Linked DNA regions of Arabidopsis thaliana. The protein of the gene in region 2 interacts with the protein of the main gene of each other region in a pairwise test. Each region holds a gene or a part of one and is shown on either strand. Other genes may lie near its edges.

Region 1 (8,924 bases), on a different chromosome or scaffold from region 2:
ATGAGTCCATTACATAAGTGTGACTGGGTAGCTTAAGGTAATAATAACCAGCTCCCGTTATTTGTTGTTTCTTTCCGTTGGTTGATGCGAGATAATTATAAACTGTTTTAGGTGTTTTTTATTTACCTAATTTTTATAATATTGAAGTTTATATTATTATTAACTGTTGTACAGTGCATTTTTCAAGAGTCTAAAATTGATAGATGACTGAAACCTTTACATGTTCTGGACAAACTTTATTTCGACGCAATATCATTGAAACTGTCTCTCATATCTTTAAATTTTCGACGCAATATTATTTCAACCCAATTCACAAGGCAAATAAATCATAGTCTATAGACATCATTGCTTGCTTGTATAATGAGATTTTTCAATCCGAATACGGAATATACAAAAACTCTTCGTAGGCTTTCTTTATCAAAAGTATCAGCACCAATGAGTTTCATTCAAGACAAGGATCATAATGACTAATATTATTGAAAAAGGAAATGCCAAATTTGGGTGGTTATCTAGGGTTGGTGTTGAGGAGACTTCTTGAGATGTAGGGCTTCTTTGAGCTTACGACCTAGAGCAAATGCCAATGGTGGAGGGACTGCATTCCCAATCTGCCTGTGCTTGTGATTTATGTTCCCTGCAAACTCGTAGCTATCCGGAAACCCCTGCAGTTTTCATTAACAACAATTTCGCTTAAAAGGCCATATCGATAAAGCTAACATTACTACTCTATCTCCCAAAACCATTCAGTGCTTTGCAATCTCTAAGTCTGTAACTGATGCTATAGGACTGACTGGGAACAGAAGAGTTTTTCTTACCTGAGATCGGGCGCATTCACGGACTGTAAGGATTCTGTGCTGTTCAGGATGAAAGCACATTCCAACCTTACCCATGGGCTGAGGATCCGTGACGGAAGTCGGAAAGTTTCCTTGCCAATCTAATCTCCCATATAGTCCCTTCCAACCGTTGTGGCGCTCAGCTGTGTTTGGGAGACAAAAAGGAATCATTTCTTCTACGCGCCCATCAGATAACGTAACCTGTGATATTAAAACAAAGCGATTTGGGTTGATTTCTAGTTTCAAAAGCAATTCTTTTGACCGTAGTCAACCTGACAAAGGTATTCCTGAGGTAGGATGTATAAGACTGACCTTTCTCTTTGGCAAGTCATGCCAATCAGCCCCAGGCCTAGTTGGGATTAATTTGCATCGAATGAGGTTAAGCTCATTCATAGCCTTGCAGATATGATCAGTGAGAGCAATCGTGTTTCCTCTTATCTCCTTTTGGAACCACGAGACTGCAACCTCTTTATACTGCAAGAAACAAGAATTTCCCCCACATAAATTAATAAATTAATGGGTTCACGTCATTTGTGTTTAGCAAATATGTATGTATAGATATTTTCTCCAGATGTGTTATCATACCTCTTTGTTTGTCCTAGAGTCTCCGTTTTCTACTGATGGAAGATCACCAATTGTGTCTCTCACGGTGATTGGACGGAAAGGGGCACCAAGTGCAGTACTACGAACAGCAGCATAATGTAAACCTTGAGATAGTGAGATTTTCAACTTTGGAACACCAAAGACATGCATCGGCTCAGGCCATTCAGGGAGAACTTCTTCTGGTGCAGCAGCCCAAATGAAAGCTCGTTTACGAGATTGGGATACTCCATATGCACCGGCCTCCAGGATTCCAAATCTCACCTGGGAAACATCATAGAAACATCATATTTAAGAGATTTAAGTCAATTTTTGTACTTCGCAAACCATTCTTCACAGAGCATGCCAACTTCTACTAAAGAGAAATCAATTTAACAAAAGCGTTAGGACTTTACCTGGTAACCCATTTCGAGAAGGGAAGCCAAAGTAAGCTGAAATGTCTGCCCTTTATTGAATGACACAAAGGTCCTCACGTTCTCCAGAAGAAAATACCTTGGCCGGAAATAGTCAGCAAAGGACAAGAATGCTAATATCATTTCACACTGAACTTTACTCCAAGAGCTTTGGTTGAACCTGTTCATACCAGAAAATCCCTGCCAAATTGCACAGGTTAAGGGCTTTTCACTTATTCAACGAAAAATTTACACAAGTATAGCCACAATCTGAAATATATACCTGACATGGAGGTCCACCATTGATGAAGTCCACTTGACCAGGCAGTGGCAGAGTACTCTTCTGCTCCTCAGTTAGTTTAGCTGCTAATTCATTTGCCTCTGTAGTAGAGACACAATCATCTTGATCTCCACCTTTCTCCATTATAGCCCTGCAATTAATCACAACAACTGATCACAATGCAAAAAATAGCCACACTAAAAGAGTAAGCGATAACTTGTTGGCTATTTACCTAAGAATCACATTGCAGTTGTCAACAAAAACTGTTGACTCAGGATGGTTTTGTTTAAAAGCCTGCCCAGCTGGCTCTTCATACTCAATCGCCCACTTTGCATCAGATACACCTTTTACATATAGCATGAATATTAATACAACTTATTCAAGCATTTTGGAAGATTAAGAGTTGACTGGATATAATACATACCCGCCTTTTTCAGTCCATGAGACAGGCCACCACAACCAGCAAAAATATCTAGAGTAGCCAGACGAATCTCTTTAGGTGGCTCAACAGGCTTGACAATCTCAGACTCAATTTCACTCTCTACTCCCTTTCCCTTTTTCTTTCTTAAAAGTGTGTCGTCCTTAATAGTAGAGAACTTTGGCTTCATATTGGCGGGCAGCTGTTACAAGACAGTATAGAGAAAAAGTTCAACTTTGTATCAGAACAACAATAATCATAACATATAAATCCTAGACACAACTATATGAATTCCTTAAGAAACTAGGTACACAAATAATTGACAAATACGAAGTGAAGAGAGGTATATACCTGCTTGAGAGAACCTTTGGAGGTGTCAAAGAAAAGATCACAGAAGAAAATATGGTCTGATATTGGATATTCACGGGATAAGGGCATATCACTTTTCTTTCTTACTTCACATTTTCCCTCTAGAGCACCTGGAGGGAGAACAACTGTGTCCTGGCTGAAATACAACTTAAGAAATTGCAAAAAGAAAGAAAAAAGATTGTCAGATAAACTTATGAAGAAACCTCACCACTGAACACATTACCAGATATAAAAAATAGTTCTTACTTCTTGGATGTCTGAAGCATAGGCCTTCTCTGCAGAAACATCCTCAGGCCTATAAAACCTTCTCACTTTAACATCAAAGGAACCCAAATCAGCCTTTCTAGATTCCTTTGGAACAATTTCCAGCAATTGGCAAACAACATACGCTCTTAACCCAATGTTTCGCCCAGACTTAAAAGAAGTTTTACTACCCTCCTTCAACCCACCAATAGAGTCAGGGTTGACATAGACAAAATCCTCAACAGAATACTCAATCCCATTGATGAAAAAGCCTGTCTTTGAAACATTTAGTTTAATTGTAGACCTCTTCTCTTCATCCTCCCTTATCTTACATGAAGTGCAGAACCCAGAACTGCGACCAATATCACTTAGTGGAAGACTAAAGAATCCCCCTCTCTCAGGTGAGTACAAGCTTTTGCAGTAATACTCTGTTGGCAAATCTTTTACTTTTCTTTCTAATGCTCTAGCCCAGTCAAGCTTATCCGCAGTGATGTTCTTTTTCCTATACTGATGCCCCCATGGCCTTGATCGAATCTCAAAACTGGCTACTCCTTTAATGTCCTTGAGCTGTGTAGTCATGCATTCATTAGTCAGGAATAGTTCCCTCTCGTTAGCAGCATTCCCCAGAACAGTCATAGATCCTCTTTGTAAGAATCTACCATGTAACATTTTGCAGTGATCTGTACTTTCGAACATGTACTCCACAAAATAGATGGCCGGCATTTCATCTGGATCATCAACTTCCAAGGTGACAGCGCCACCTACAGCCACCATTTCCCCTCCAACAAGGGCTTGTTGATAGAGAGGCTCGCCAGCAGAAGTTTTTCCTAGACTCTCACCATCCCATTTTATTTCCCTTTTTCCAGAACTGCCTCGGATTTTCTTAGGAGTATGAGGCTTCTGAACCTCAACAGGTTCTGGTACAGTGTCCTCTGTGAGACCATTTTCACCTTCCTCTTCAACCTCTTCCTCCCCATTTCCGCCTTCCTCTTCCACCTCATCCTCCCCATTTTCTGCAGCAGTCGCCTGCAATGGATCCTCTGGAGAGTAATTGGAGTAAAACTCTCCCCAAATTCTGTTGACCAGGCGAGTTGTTGTTGCTTGCATAGCTTTCCTCTTCGATGCTACTGGTGCCATGCCTGCCCTTGGATTCAGATTCAGTTCCTTCAGCGAAATTTTCTTCTTCTTGATGATCCATTTTGTGTGGTGCCTATCCTCCAATTTGCTTGCAAGACCAACAACAAATGGACACCTTTTGACATTGTCGTCCGGATAAACTGCAAAAAGCTGTAAAATAATTTGCCCATGGACGACCAAATATCTCTCAACAGCCAAGGGGTCAGAAGAAATGTAAGCTTTATCATTCGCCTGTAACCCAGACAGTCTTTTTGTGACATCTGCAAATGAAAGCCTAGCAACCCTACTTTCCACCCTAAGAAAAGTAAGAATGCTTATCCCAACCCTTGCTGTTTTCAGAACAGGTTTCCACCAAGGGGCATAAAGTTTTGATGGTTTCCCAAGACGGTACCTGTATATACCTTATACATCAGCAACAGAAGAAAAAACAGACGTAGAAACATGCGAGTACAAAATACTAGGATAGTAAGCTTACCAGGCCACATCTGTTCGTATAGAAATGGAGATAATATCATCGCTCCCAAACTCAATCATCCATTCTTTAATTTGACTGAGGAATATGCACATCCCATCAGGATCGTGTGACTGAGAACCGCTGTCAGGATCGTTTAAAGAAATCCAACTTCCATTATCATCAGTCACCACACCTGACCCAAAAATGTTGACATCAATATCATCACATTGTTTCATCGGTAGAAGTTCCAGTGATATGAATCGTAAATCAGAGTTATAAAGAGCCCAGTTGTGAAGCATCCTGTGAGGCAGGTGTTCAGATTGAACCTCATAGGAAGCATCATAAAGTATAAGTTCATCTGTTTCTTCTTCGGAGGTCTTATAGTACGATGGGAGAGGATAATCATTGGCAATCTCATCTTCATTTATCTTAATGTAGAACATATTTGAAGCAGAACCTGAGCTGCTGTTTTTTCTGGGCTGTTGCATAGATTTCCTATTCTCTTCGTCTTGTAAGAGTATAGCATATCTTCTGTCATCATCAGTACCATCAACCAGTTGATCAGATGTCAAGGCCTCGCTCTCCGCAACTTGAGAAACTTCTTTAATCCTCACACCATTAGATGGGTTTCTTTCCCTCTGCAGAGGCTTGTCAATCTTACTACTCTTCTCTCTGAGAGCTACAAGAACAGGAATCTCAACATAGCTTGATTCATGTTTCTTGGCTGTCTCATCCAAACCAGCGAGTTGGTTATATATAAAATCTCCCTGGGATATAACAAAATCGATGATTGCCGCACCACTAGAAAAGTACTTGCTTCCACTGCTCATTGATCTGACAACCGCCGCAAGTAACTCCTCAAGACCTATATCAGGATCCCCACCAGATGACTTGGACAATTTCTTATACACAGCCACTGAAGCACGAGCTTTCTCATAGAAGTAATCATAAACCTTCCTGTAGCTAGCAGCAGGTTTACGACAATCATAATCCGCCAATTCCGTTGAGATCCAAATAACAGGGGAACCATCTTCATAACCAGAGATACTCCAATGCTCAACCCGTCCAAACGATGTACACCTCACACCCTTCTCTTTCTCCTTATCAGTACACACATCTGAAGGTAAGATAGCACCTGAAACGAATATGTCATGAATCTCCAACATCTCCAGAGGTTGTGGAACTCCATCTGAATCAAACAAAACAAAATCATTCAGTCTCCTGGTTGGACGATCTTCAACATCAGTTTCCAGAGCCGTTAACCGTAACGCGAGAAACTCTTCCTCCACAATCTGCTGTTTCTTTACTTCAATAGTAGCAGATTTCTCACAGACTCGAATAGATTTCTCCTTGAAACTGGTACACGCTGCAGCACGCCTTGGTCTCCTCGTCCTAGGTACATCTTCTACCTCTTGAATCTCTGGAAGTGGTCTCTTCTTTCGCTTCGCAGCTTTAGCCCCATTTTCCACCATTTTCAAAATCCCTAGTTTCAAAATCAAAATTACCAACAAAATCATCACTATAACGCAATTGGACTATAAAATTTTCACACAAATCTATGTAATCGAAGCGTTCACTACATCGCATTGACTAAACCGACGCAAATAATAACAAAGCCCAGGAAAATTTCCGAGTCTAGGGTTTAACAATCACTGTAGTTAGACTGAAATCGACACAGATTATAGAGAAAAACTTACGTTGAGAAGCGAAATCTACTGGAAGATTGCGAAACCCTAATTGGTCTGAGAGATAGAGAGGTTGAAGAAAGCAGTGATGTGTGATTTGAGAGGAAGAGTGGGAGAGAGAGAGAGGGGGTAATAATAAAAGGAGACGAGACGAGGAGCGAAAACGACGCGCGGCAATAAACGGCGCTAAAAACTTTTTTAAAATGAAAACGAAATAAGAAAAAAAGCCGCGCCTGAATATTTAGGGCTACCATAAATGGCTTTTTATGATTCAATGATTTTATCTTTTGGGGAATATTCCGTATAAATAATCCTAATTTTAAGATTTTTACAGATTTGTTTCTATCTCTAATGTTTATATTCTAATATCTTTCCATCAGTCAACAGTCAAAGTATACGAGTATTATTTTGATTAAGATTTTTATTTGACTACAAAGTATAGATATTTTTTTGATAGAAAAAAGTCTGATTTTTAGACGAAATGTTGAGGGTTAACAACTTAACAATGAGATCCTCCAATAATACTTTTATGTGTGTGTTTTTTCTTATAACAAGAACAATATTTTTATTTTCAAAACTAATACTTTATCATGAAGTGTTTATCAAATGGATAATTTTAATATATATACGAAAAATCTCAAATTGGTAGGATGCCGCTATTTTAGTTAGCTCGTTAGGTTTATGATTTATAACAATATTTTTTCTTTCGAGAACTAACATTTTACCATGATCCTACTATATTATTTGGGAAGTACATTTTAAATGTAACCTTACTTTTTGTAAGTAATTACATATGTATGCCATTAGAAATAAAATTTAAAGAGTAAAGTAATTCATCTCTTTAAAAATTAAAAAGTCAAATACTAATTTAATTAATTAAATTTCATTAAAAAATGAAATACATTATTAATTTCCAAAAAATTAACCAATTAAAATCAACAAATTAGATTTAATATCTAAATTATCATATTAATTTTTTATTAATTATTATAGTTCACCTCTCATCTTTATATGATTCTATTTTTGCGAAAAAATAATATCATCGTTATAAAAAAATAATTAGAGTTTTTTCGCATATGCCATAATTTAAACTTTTAAAAACGAATATAAACTGTTCAATACATAAAAAAATATTATAACGGGTCAAAAATAGATTTAAAAAAATTTATTACTAAGTACTGGGTCATAATTTAAATATTTATATTCAATTTCATGCATATTATTTTAAGAATTTATAATCTTATATACAACAATAATTAATAACATATTAGATTTTTTTATGTGTATGATGTGATTCAATTTTTAATACAAGCTGGAAAATCCTAGAATTGACGGGTTTAAATCGATATTAATATAAGATGGTATACTACAGGTGAAACTCTAAAATTAACAATCAAAATACAAGTGTATAATTTTAAACACTAAACAATATAAATAATATCAAGAAAACATATACAACTCGCAGTTTACTATATATTTAAAATCAAATAAAATAATATCATATAATTAATATTTTGGATATTAAATTAATGTTTGGGTTTTTGAATACTCTTTTTAGATAACGGGTAATTTCCGGTCCAATCGGATATCCACGGGTTTACTAAAACTCTACCCAATAAGGAAATTTCCTAAAATTTTAACCCGCCCTAACCCGATTTTTTGGTTCGAGTATTGGGTTGGTTATCGGGTCCGTTTTTTCGTCAGCCCTATTAAAGATAATCTAATATAGGCCCCAATTAGGTCCACAAATATAACCAAAATACTATACAAAAACTAATTCTAAATTAGGCCAAAAATTAGATCCTCTAATACAAAGGAAACATGTTTCTTACCAAAATAACTTCTATACAAATTTTACACATTTACTTAAAACTACATATGTTGTATTTATTATAACAATAACATTTTTAAACAAAGTCAATCTAATGCAGCATTATATGTAAATAGTAAAACATTGAAAAATATTATGGCATCACTTTTATACTATACTATTTTTTATGTAATTCAAACAAAGTATACAATTTAATTTATACAAAATATTAATGCTCGTGCTGTATAGCACGGGTTATGATCTAGTAAATCTATTAAATGAATAATCATATGAGTTAATCAGATTTATATACATTGAAAACCTCAAATTAATATACTTATTTATCTTTCAATTTTGAGCATAGTTTGTGGGGATTTTTTTTTTTTCGCAAACTTATTTAGTTCCTTCTTATATCTTTTAATGGCATTATTAATAGAAACACAGATGACAACAACAACAAAATTCGATAATGCACGATCTACAGAGTAAAAGTTTCTATCAAGACATTAGGAAGCTCGTACAATATAAAAATTCACTACACAAAAGTCAATTTGGCCAGATTCGATTGCTCTTTATACAATCTTGTAACGTAGAGATCACCACGCTCCATCTCCACAGTCTCGGGGATCTCTCCGATCCTCTGCCAAAATAAGTAAAGGCAAACCCAAACTTAGTTTACAGAAAGGTTGTGTATATATGTGTATGG
Region 2 (7,856 bases):
GAACATTAATTTAAGTGGATCTTAAGTCTTTTTATAGTTATGTTTATAACACGTGCATAATATATATACGTAGTCACTTTTTAAGAAAACTTTGGACATTTAGTTAACGTTATAAAGAGTAAAAAATTTTAAAATATTAGAGTAAAGAGTAATTTACGTTTTAACACAAGGATTTATAACGAACTCTCGAGAGCTTGAATTTATCCTCTTTTCCAAAAAATTATTTTATTTTTAATCTATTTATAATATTATGTACAACACACATTTAATCTTAAAAAAATAAAGATATCAATGAACTTTATCCATGTAATGGTCAAACACTAGATATGTTGGGAACGTTGGATCCATTATTTTTAAAAATCAAATTTTTTCATATCTATTATTTGTTTCAAAGAAAAAAAAAACACACGACGATTATCCATCTGCCGGCTGTGTTCATCGGTAAACCTATATTTTAAAACTGGTGGGCTTTTCATTACCATAAGTTTGGACATGTTTTTATAATTTGATGTATAGTGTAGACCAAAAAATAGAGAAATAAGAAAGGGAACCTTTGTGGTGATTGTAACAAAACAGAAATCATTATATTGAATCATTCGAAAAGACGAAAAGATCAAACCTTTGTAGCTAGATGACCATAGACGTGGCTGCCAATTACAGTCTTAATGCTTTTATATAGATCTTTCTTACATCCTCTGTTCCTTCACATTCAAGAAACAGTATCATCCCATTTTCTTTCTTCTTCTCAGTGTTTCAATCTTTGCGAATTAAGATGGAACATGAAGAAACACAAAAGAACACAAGAAACAGCTGGTCCCTGATTCGACCATTTCAAATGATCTCCATTAGCTTTCTTAGCCTCCTCCTCCCTCTATCTTTCCTCTTTCTTTCACGTCTCTCTCTCTATACCTCCTCAACTCCGGTCACCGTCTCCGGCGTTTCCTCTGTTATTCACCAGGCAGATGTCGGAGTCTTATACACGATCTTGTTTCTCATCATCGTCTTCACTTTAATCCACAGTCTCTCAGGAAAACCAGAATGCTCTGTTCTCCATTCCCATCTCTACATCTGCTGGATCGTTCTCTTCATCGCCCAAGCTTGTGCCTTTGGGATCAAAAGAACCATGAGCACGACCATGTCTATAAATCCAGACAAAAACTTGTTTCTTGCGACACATGAAAGATGGATGTTGGTTAGGGTTTTGTTCTTTTTGGGGCTACACGAAGTGATGCTGATGTGGTTTAGAGTCGTGGTTAAGCCTGTGGTTGACAACACTATATATGGGGTCTACGTGGAGGAGAGGTGGTCCGAGAGAGCCGTTGTGGCAGTGACCTTTGGTATAATGTGGTGGTGGAGGCTAAGAGATGAGGTAGAAAGTCTTGTGGTGGTGGTTACGGCGGATAGACTTAACCTCCCCATTCGTTTGGAGGGTCTCAATTTTGTGAACTGGTGTATGTATTACATCTGTGTTGGAATTGGTTTAATGAAGATCTTCAAAGGGTTTTTGGATTTTGTGAATACGTTGACTTTGAGCATTAAGAGGTCGAGAAAAGGCTGTGAATCATGTGTTTTTGATGATATGTGTAATGATGATCATGTGTAAGATATTTGACATATTATACTCATCTCTTGAATGTTTTTGAGATTTTTTTATTTTTATTTTCTATTTCTTGCTAGGAATTTAACCCGTATATATGTCACAAAAATAGTAGAATATCAGAAAGCAAAAATATTTTATCTAAAAATAACCATTGAACATTAATTTAAGTCTTTTTATAATTATATTTTTATAACACACCCTTTTTAAGAAAAACTTGGAGATTTAATTAACGTTATAAATAGTAAAAAATATCGGATTTACGTAGAAGTTTTAAATGCGTATAATTAAATTTACGAATTGAATAATATAGCCATATATATATTTTTGAAGATTTAAACTCATTTTGTTTCTTCCATATATGCATAATATATAAGCTTAAATAGAAAACTAGCTAGGAATGAATACTAATATATATAATGACATTAATATAAGTCTTACCGGACACTCCAAAATGTATATATTGATCTATCAACATTTTTTCATTGGTTTACTAAACCAAGTTGTCACATAAATATGAGTTAACGCCTTTTTTTTTATAATATTGTATATGAATTTAAACTTGAGCTGTCAAACGTCAAGCAAACCCAACATCTACATACATATAGTACTATATTTTGAAAATTAAAATTTTCTTAAATTTCCCATATTATTTTCCTTTTAAAGCAAGCAAGTCCAAATACGTTTCTTCCAGATTATAATTTTCCTTAATAAGGTTTTCTACAAAAAAAAATCAACTTCTTATTTAAAAAACCCTTTGCATTATCCTTTTCACCAACATCAGAGAAGACGAGAAAAAAAGAAGAGGCGAGTGGTTAATGGAGAAGGTTAGTTTCACTCCAAACATATATGAATTGACTAGGTTATGAAATCCATATATTTTAATTGTGTGTTTATGATAGATCAATAACATTTAGGGTTGAATTTTCTTGTGATCTATTATGTTATTCGTCCCATGCATGATCCATAAAACTTTTATTTTTGAATTTGTCTAGGAAAACCATGAGGACGATGGTGAGGGTTTGCCACCCGAACTAAATCAGATAAAAGAGCAAATCGAAAAGGAGAGATTTCTGCATATCAAGGTAAGAGACATTTGGTTGCTTTAATATTTTATTCTCTTCTGTATGTTTTTCTGAAAATTAAGGAGAGGAGAGGACTTAATCTCATAACTATACGATTCCAAAGAGATGTTAAGATACATCTAATAAACAGTTATACATTAGTCATAATCTTTAAAACTAAAAAGAGAAATTTCCAAACTTTTAAATTAAAAACAGAATTTAGAAAATGCCAGCGAATCGATAACGACATCCAGATCTGTCGGGTATCCAAAACTTAGAATAAAAAAATAATTAATATATTTATAATATAAAGCTGGAACTTAGGTTATAAAATAAAATTGAAAATAATAGTAGATTTTTTTGTTTTTGTCAAACAAAATAGTAATACAATTTGTTTTTTTTAGTACAAAGAAACTAAATAGGTCCAAATTGTTTTTTTTTTAACATTCAGCCAAAAAAGCCAAGATTGATGCATATATCAAGAAATCGAAATCAAAACTTTTGTATTCAAGTATTCTAGTTTCACTATATATAGAGTCCAGTTTCTGAAATTTAAAAAATCATTTACCTATATATTACTTGATTAACAGAGAAAATTCGAGCTGAGATACATTCCAAGTGTGGCTACTCATGCTTCACACCATCAATCGTTTGACTTAAACCAGCCCGCTGCAGAGGATGATAATGGAGGAGACAACAAATCACTTTTGTCGAGAATGCAAAACCCACTTCGTCATTTCAGTGCCTCATCTGATTATAATTCTTACGAAGATCAAGGTTATGTTCTTGATGAGGATCAAGATTATGCTCTTGAAGAAGATGTACCATTATTTCTTGATGAAGATGTACCATTATTACCAAGTGTCAAGCTTCCAATTGTTGAGAAGCTACCACGATCCATTACATGGGTCTTCACCAAAAGGCATGTGTGTTTTTTGTTTCGTACTAGTTTCAAAATATTAATCATATACTATATAGTAATCACTCATAGTGCATATATACATTTCTTTAACATTGCAGTAGCCAGCTGATGGCTGAAAGTGATTCTGTGATTGGTAAGAGACAAATCTATTATTTGAATGGTGAGGCACTAGAATTGAGCAGTGAAGAAGATGAGGAAGATGAAGAAGAAGATGAGGAAGAAATCAAGAAAGAAAAATGCGAATTTTCTGAAGATGTAGACCGATTTATATGGTTAGTTTTTGCATTACATATGTTCTTGATTATTAATTTGTAGTCCATATTTAATAAACTGCTCAAGAAATTTTCAGGACGGTTGGGCAGGACTATGGTTTGGATGATCTGGTCGTGCGGCGTGCTCTCGCCAAGTACCTCGAAGTGGATGTTTCGGACATATTGGTAACAATATTCGAATAAAAACTTCATACGTCGATCAATAACTTTCCTGCTTATTTAATTTTTGTTGTTTTTCGTCGTGAGAAATGTTTTAAATTTTCAAATCTAATGTAGGAAAGATACAATGAACTCAAGCTTAAGAATGATGGAACTGCTGGTGAGGCTTCTGATTTGACATCCAAGACAATAACTACTGCTTTCCAGGATTTTGCTGATAGACGTCATTGCCGTCGTTGCATGGTAACTTTGAATCTTTCTTTTTTAATTTAGCCACAAAAAAGGGAGATGATCATACATGTTTTTATTTTATTTTATCATTTGTTTTACAGATATTCGATTGTCATATGCATGAGAAGTATGAGCCCGAGTCTAGATCCGTAAGCATTAAATTCATTTAAATTATTTTGTTAGTTTCACAACCCTTATATATAAGGTTAAGTGATTAACTTAATTAGATTGCTTTGGCTTGTCAGAGCGAAGACAAATCTAGTTTGTTTGAGGATGAAGATAGACAACCATGCAGTGAGCATTGTTACCTCAAGGTCTCTATCTCTCTCCCTCTCTCTCTCAATTTTTTTGTCTATTCCTTAATTACGTTTATTAGTTACTGGTTTAATATTAAATAGGTGAGGAGTGTGACAGAAGCTGATCATGTGATGGATAATGATAACTCTATATCAAACAAGATTGTGGTCTCAGATCCAAACAACACTATGTGGACGCCTGTAGAGAAGGATCTTTACTTGAAAGGAATTGAGATATTTGGGAGAAACAGGTAAAAAAATAAAAATAGATTTAATGCATTAATATATATACTTACACTGTATTCCTTGATTATGCTGGTTCGCAGTTGTGATGTTGCATTAAACATACTTCGGGGGCTTAAGACGTGCCTAGAGATTTACAATTACATGCGCGAACAAGATCAATGTACTATGTCATTAGACCTTAACAAAACTACACAAAGACACAATCAGGTACACTAACCTATGTCGTAATTATTCTCATGACATGTATGTTAAAAACACATGAAGTTTCCTATATGTGTTGATGGTTTTATCACAGGTTACCAAAAAAGTATCTCGAAAAAGTAGTAGGTCGGTCCGCAAAAAATCGAGACTCCGAAAATATGCTCGTTATCCGCCTGCTTTAAAGAAAACAACTAGTGGAGAAGCTAAGTTTTATAAGCACTACACACCATGCACTTGCAAGTCAAAATGTGGACAGCAATGCCCTTGTTTAACTCACGAAAATTGCTGCGAGAAATATTGCGGGTATGTCATTCAATTTTTCCTAAGCCGGAAGATCCATGAGATTTAATTTGAACATGAGTTTGTATTTTTTGTTCAGGTGCTCAAAGGATTGCAACAATCGCTTTGGAGGATGTAATTGTGCAATTGGCCAATGCACAAATCGACAATGTCCTTGTTTTGCTGCTAATCGTGAATGCGATCCAGATCTTTGTCGGAGTTGTCCTCTTAGGTAACACTTTCACTTCAATATCTCTTTATACAAATTCTATAATCAAAGTAATTCAAACCAAAAGTCTTATAAAAAAAACTTTATATATAGCTGTGGAGATGGCACTCTTGGTGAGACACCAGTGCAAATCCAATGCAAGAACATGCAATTCCTCCTTCAAACCAATAAAAAGGTAATCAACGTCAAATCCGTACCGAAAATTTAAAACTAATTATACGAAAGACATTTAACTATCATTTCCCGTATTTTACTAGATTCTCATTGGAAAGTCTGATGTTCATGGATGGGGTGCATTTACATGGGTAAGCAATCATGTAAATATAAGAATAAGTTTAATAGTTATTGGTGCATTCATAACACTTTTTTTTTTTTAATAATGTTTTATACTTTAGACCATTAAATATATTGTGTGATATGGTTTGACCCGTCAGGACTCTCTTAAAAAGAATGAGTATCTCGGAGAATATACTGGAGAACTGATCACTCATGATGAAGCTAATGAGCGTGGGAGAATAGAAGATCGGATTGGTTCTTCCTACCTCTTTACCTTGAATGATCAGGTAACTTCAGAATAATTTTGAAGTAACGTTTTAATCATTCGCGGGTTACACATCTATTCGAATCAAAGTAACATTTATTTTACAGCTCGAAATCGATGCTCGCCGTAAAGGAAACGAGTTCAAATTTCTCAATCACTCAGCAAGACCTAACTGCTACGCCAAGGTACTAAGCCGTTATACTTTATCTTGAACAAATACTAACATTATACAAACAAAAATACTTATGTTAGTTTCTTTAGTTAAATCGTGTATCAACTTTACTCGTCGTTGATTGGTTTTCATATTGAAGATATTCCAAGAAACTCAAACTCATTTTAAATGATTTTTTCTTGTCGAGAAAATTTAGGTTACGAAAATTTATGGTTTCGTGTGCAGTTGATGATTGTGAGAGGAGATCAGAGGATTGGTCTATTTGCGGAGAGAGCAATCGAAGAAGGTGAGGAGCTTTTCTTCGACTACTGCTATGGACCAGAACATGCGGATTGGTCGCGTGGTCGAGAACCTAGAAAGACTGGTGCTTCTAAAAGGTCTAAGGAAGCCCGTCCAGCTCGTTAGTTTTTGATCTGAGGAGAAGCAGCAATTCAAGCAGTCCTTTTTTTATGTTATGGTATATCAATTAATAATGTAATGCTATTTTGTGTTACTAAACCAAAACTTAAGTTTCTGTTTTATTTGTTTTAGGGTGTTTTGTTTGTATCATATGTGTCTTAACTTTCAAAGTTTTCTTTTTGTATTTCAATTTAAAAACAATGTTTATGTTGTTAGTTTGCATAGACCTTTGGAAAAAAAAAGCTTTGCACAACTTTACATTTATTTAGTCTTCATTTAGCGAAAAATCACATAACACAAGTCTGTGGTACGTAATGTACAAAAATGTCAAAATAATGGGTTTTATCATTAAAAAAAAATATTGGTTATGAATGAAGTATAGTTAGAATTTTAGGTATTAGCTCGTTTGGTTTTAAAACGTTTTTCGAGATTTAATTTTGTAGTCTATTGAGTAATACATGGAAGAATCATCAACAAAGTGGCTGTAGCTTACGAAAGGTTTTACTTTAATGTAAATATGTATTTGATGCATCTAACATTTAGTATCTAAACAAATAAAAACAAAAAAAAAGAAAAAAGCTCTTTAAAATCCGAAAGTAACTATTTTCAAAAAATCTAAATTATAAACTTAAATGTTTGGAATCGCGAACGACTATTGCTAAATATAAATGCTAAATATACATGAAGATGTGAAAAACATGTTGGATTTGTGGAATCGTTAATGACCACGGTTAAATGGCGGGATCCAAAATCCGGTTAGATTTCACAATGTCATATTACGTCATATTAATTTAGTATTTATAAAAAAAACCTTTTAAAAAAAATGAGTTGAAAATCTTTTAAGAAAATAAAAAATAAAATAAATGCTAAATATACATGAAGATGTGAAAAACATGTTGGATTTGTGGAATCGTTAATGACCACGGTTAAATGGCGGGATCCAAAATCTGGTTAGATTTCACAACGCCATATTAATTTAGTATTTATAAAAAAACTTTTTTAAAAAAATGAGTTAAAATCTTTTAAAAAAATAAAATAAAAAATAAATGCTAAATATACATGAAGATGTGAAAACATGTTGGATTTGTAGAATCGCTAATGACCACGGTTAAATGGCGGGATCCAAAATCTGGTTAGATTTCACAATGTCATATTAATTTAATATTTATAAAAAAACTTTTTTTAAAAATGAGTTGAAAATCTTTTAAGAAAATAAAATAAAAAATAAATGCTAAATGTATGAAGATG

What was found.
Region 1: the proteins of MEA (region 2) and MET1 interact in a two-hybrid assay, tested with the Arabidopsis thaliana proteins (one study listed by BioGRID).

Annotation. Positions count from the first base shown.
Region 1 is NC_003076.8:19,929,772-19,938,695, reverse strand, and holds MET1 (methyltransferase 1), read right to left. Parts: upstream 6,583-8,924; 5' UTR 6,421-6,582; intron 6,207-6,420; 5' UTR 6,196-6,206; coding exon 4,745-6,195; intron 4,661-4,744; coding exon 3,136-4,660; intron 3,037-3,135; coding exon 2,872-3,036; intron 2,723-2,871; coding exon 2,527-2,722; intron 2,447-2,526; coding exon 2,335-2,446; intron 2,254-2,334; coding exon 2,106-2,253; intron 2,024-2,105; coding exon 1,826-2,023; intron 1,695-1,825; coding exon 1,416-1,694; intron 1,305-1,415; coding exon 1,143-1,304; intron 1,032-1,142; coding exon 813-1,031; intron 660-812; coding exon 510-659; 3' UTR 226-509; downstream 1-225.
Region 2 is NC_003070.9:542,381-550,236, forward strand, and holds MEA (SET domain-containing protein), read left to right. Parts: upstream 1-2,352; 5' UTR 2,353-2,415; coding exon 2,416-2,424; intron 2,425-2,592; coding exon 2,593-2,682; intron 2,683-3,251; coding exon 3,252-3,583; intron 3,584-3,681; coding exon 3,682-3,855; intron 3,856-3,932; coding exon 3,933-4,020; intron 4,021-4,131; coding exon 4,132-4,257; intron 4,258-4,346; coding exon 4,347-4,394; intron 4,395-4,490; coding exon 4,491-4,559; intron 4,560-4,643; coding exon 4,644-4,792; intron 4,793-4,867; coding exon 4,868-4,994; intron 4,995-5,082; coding exon 5,083-5,291; intron 5,292-5,367; coding exon 5,368-5,499; intron 5,500-5,589; coding exon 5,590-5,671; intron 5,672-5,753; coding exon 5,754-5,801; coding exon of another isoform or gene 5,802-5,873; exon of another isoform or gene 5,874-5,874; intron 5,875-5,930; coding exon 5,931-6,059; intron 6,060-6,144; coding exon 6,145-6,222; intron 6,223-6,434; coding exon 6,435-6,614; 3' UTR 6,615-6,822; downstream 6,823-7,856. Other genes in the region: AT1G02575 (uncharacterized protein), read left to right, coding at 773-1,603. UniProt on the Arabidopsis thaliana protein: Polycomb group (PcG) protein. Catalytic subunit of some PcG multiprotein complex, which methylates 'Lys-27' of histone H3, leading to transcriptional repression of the affected target genes.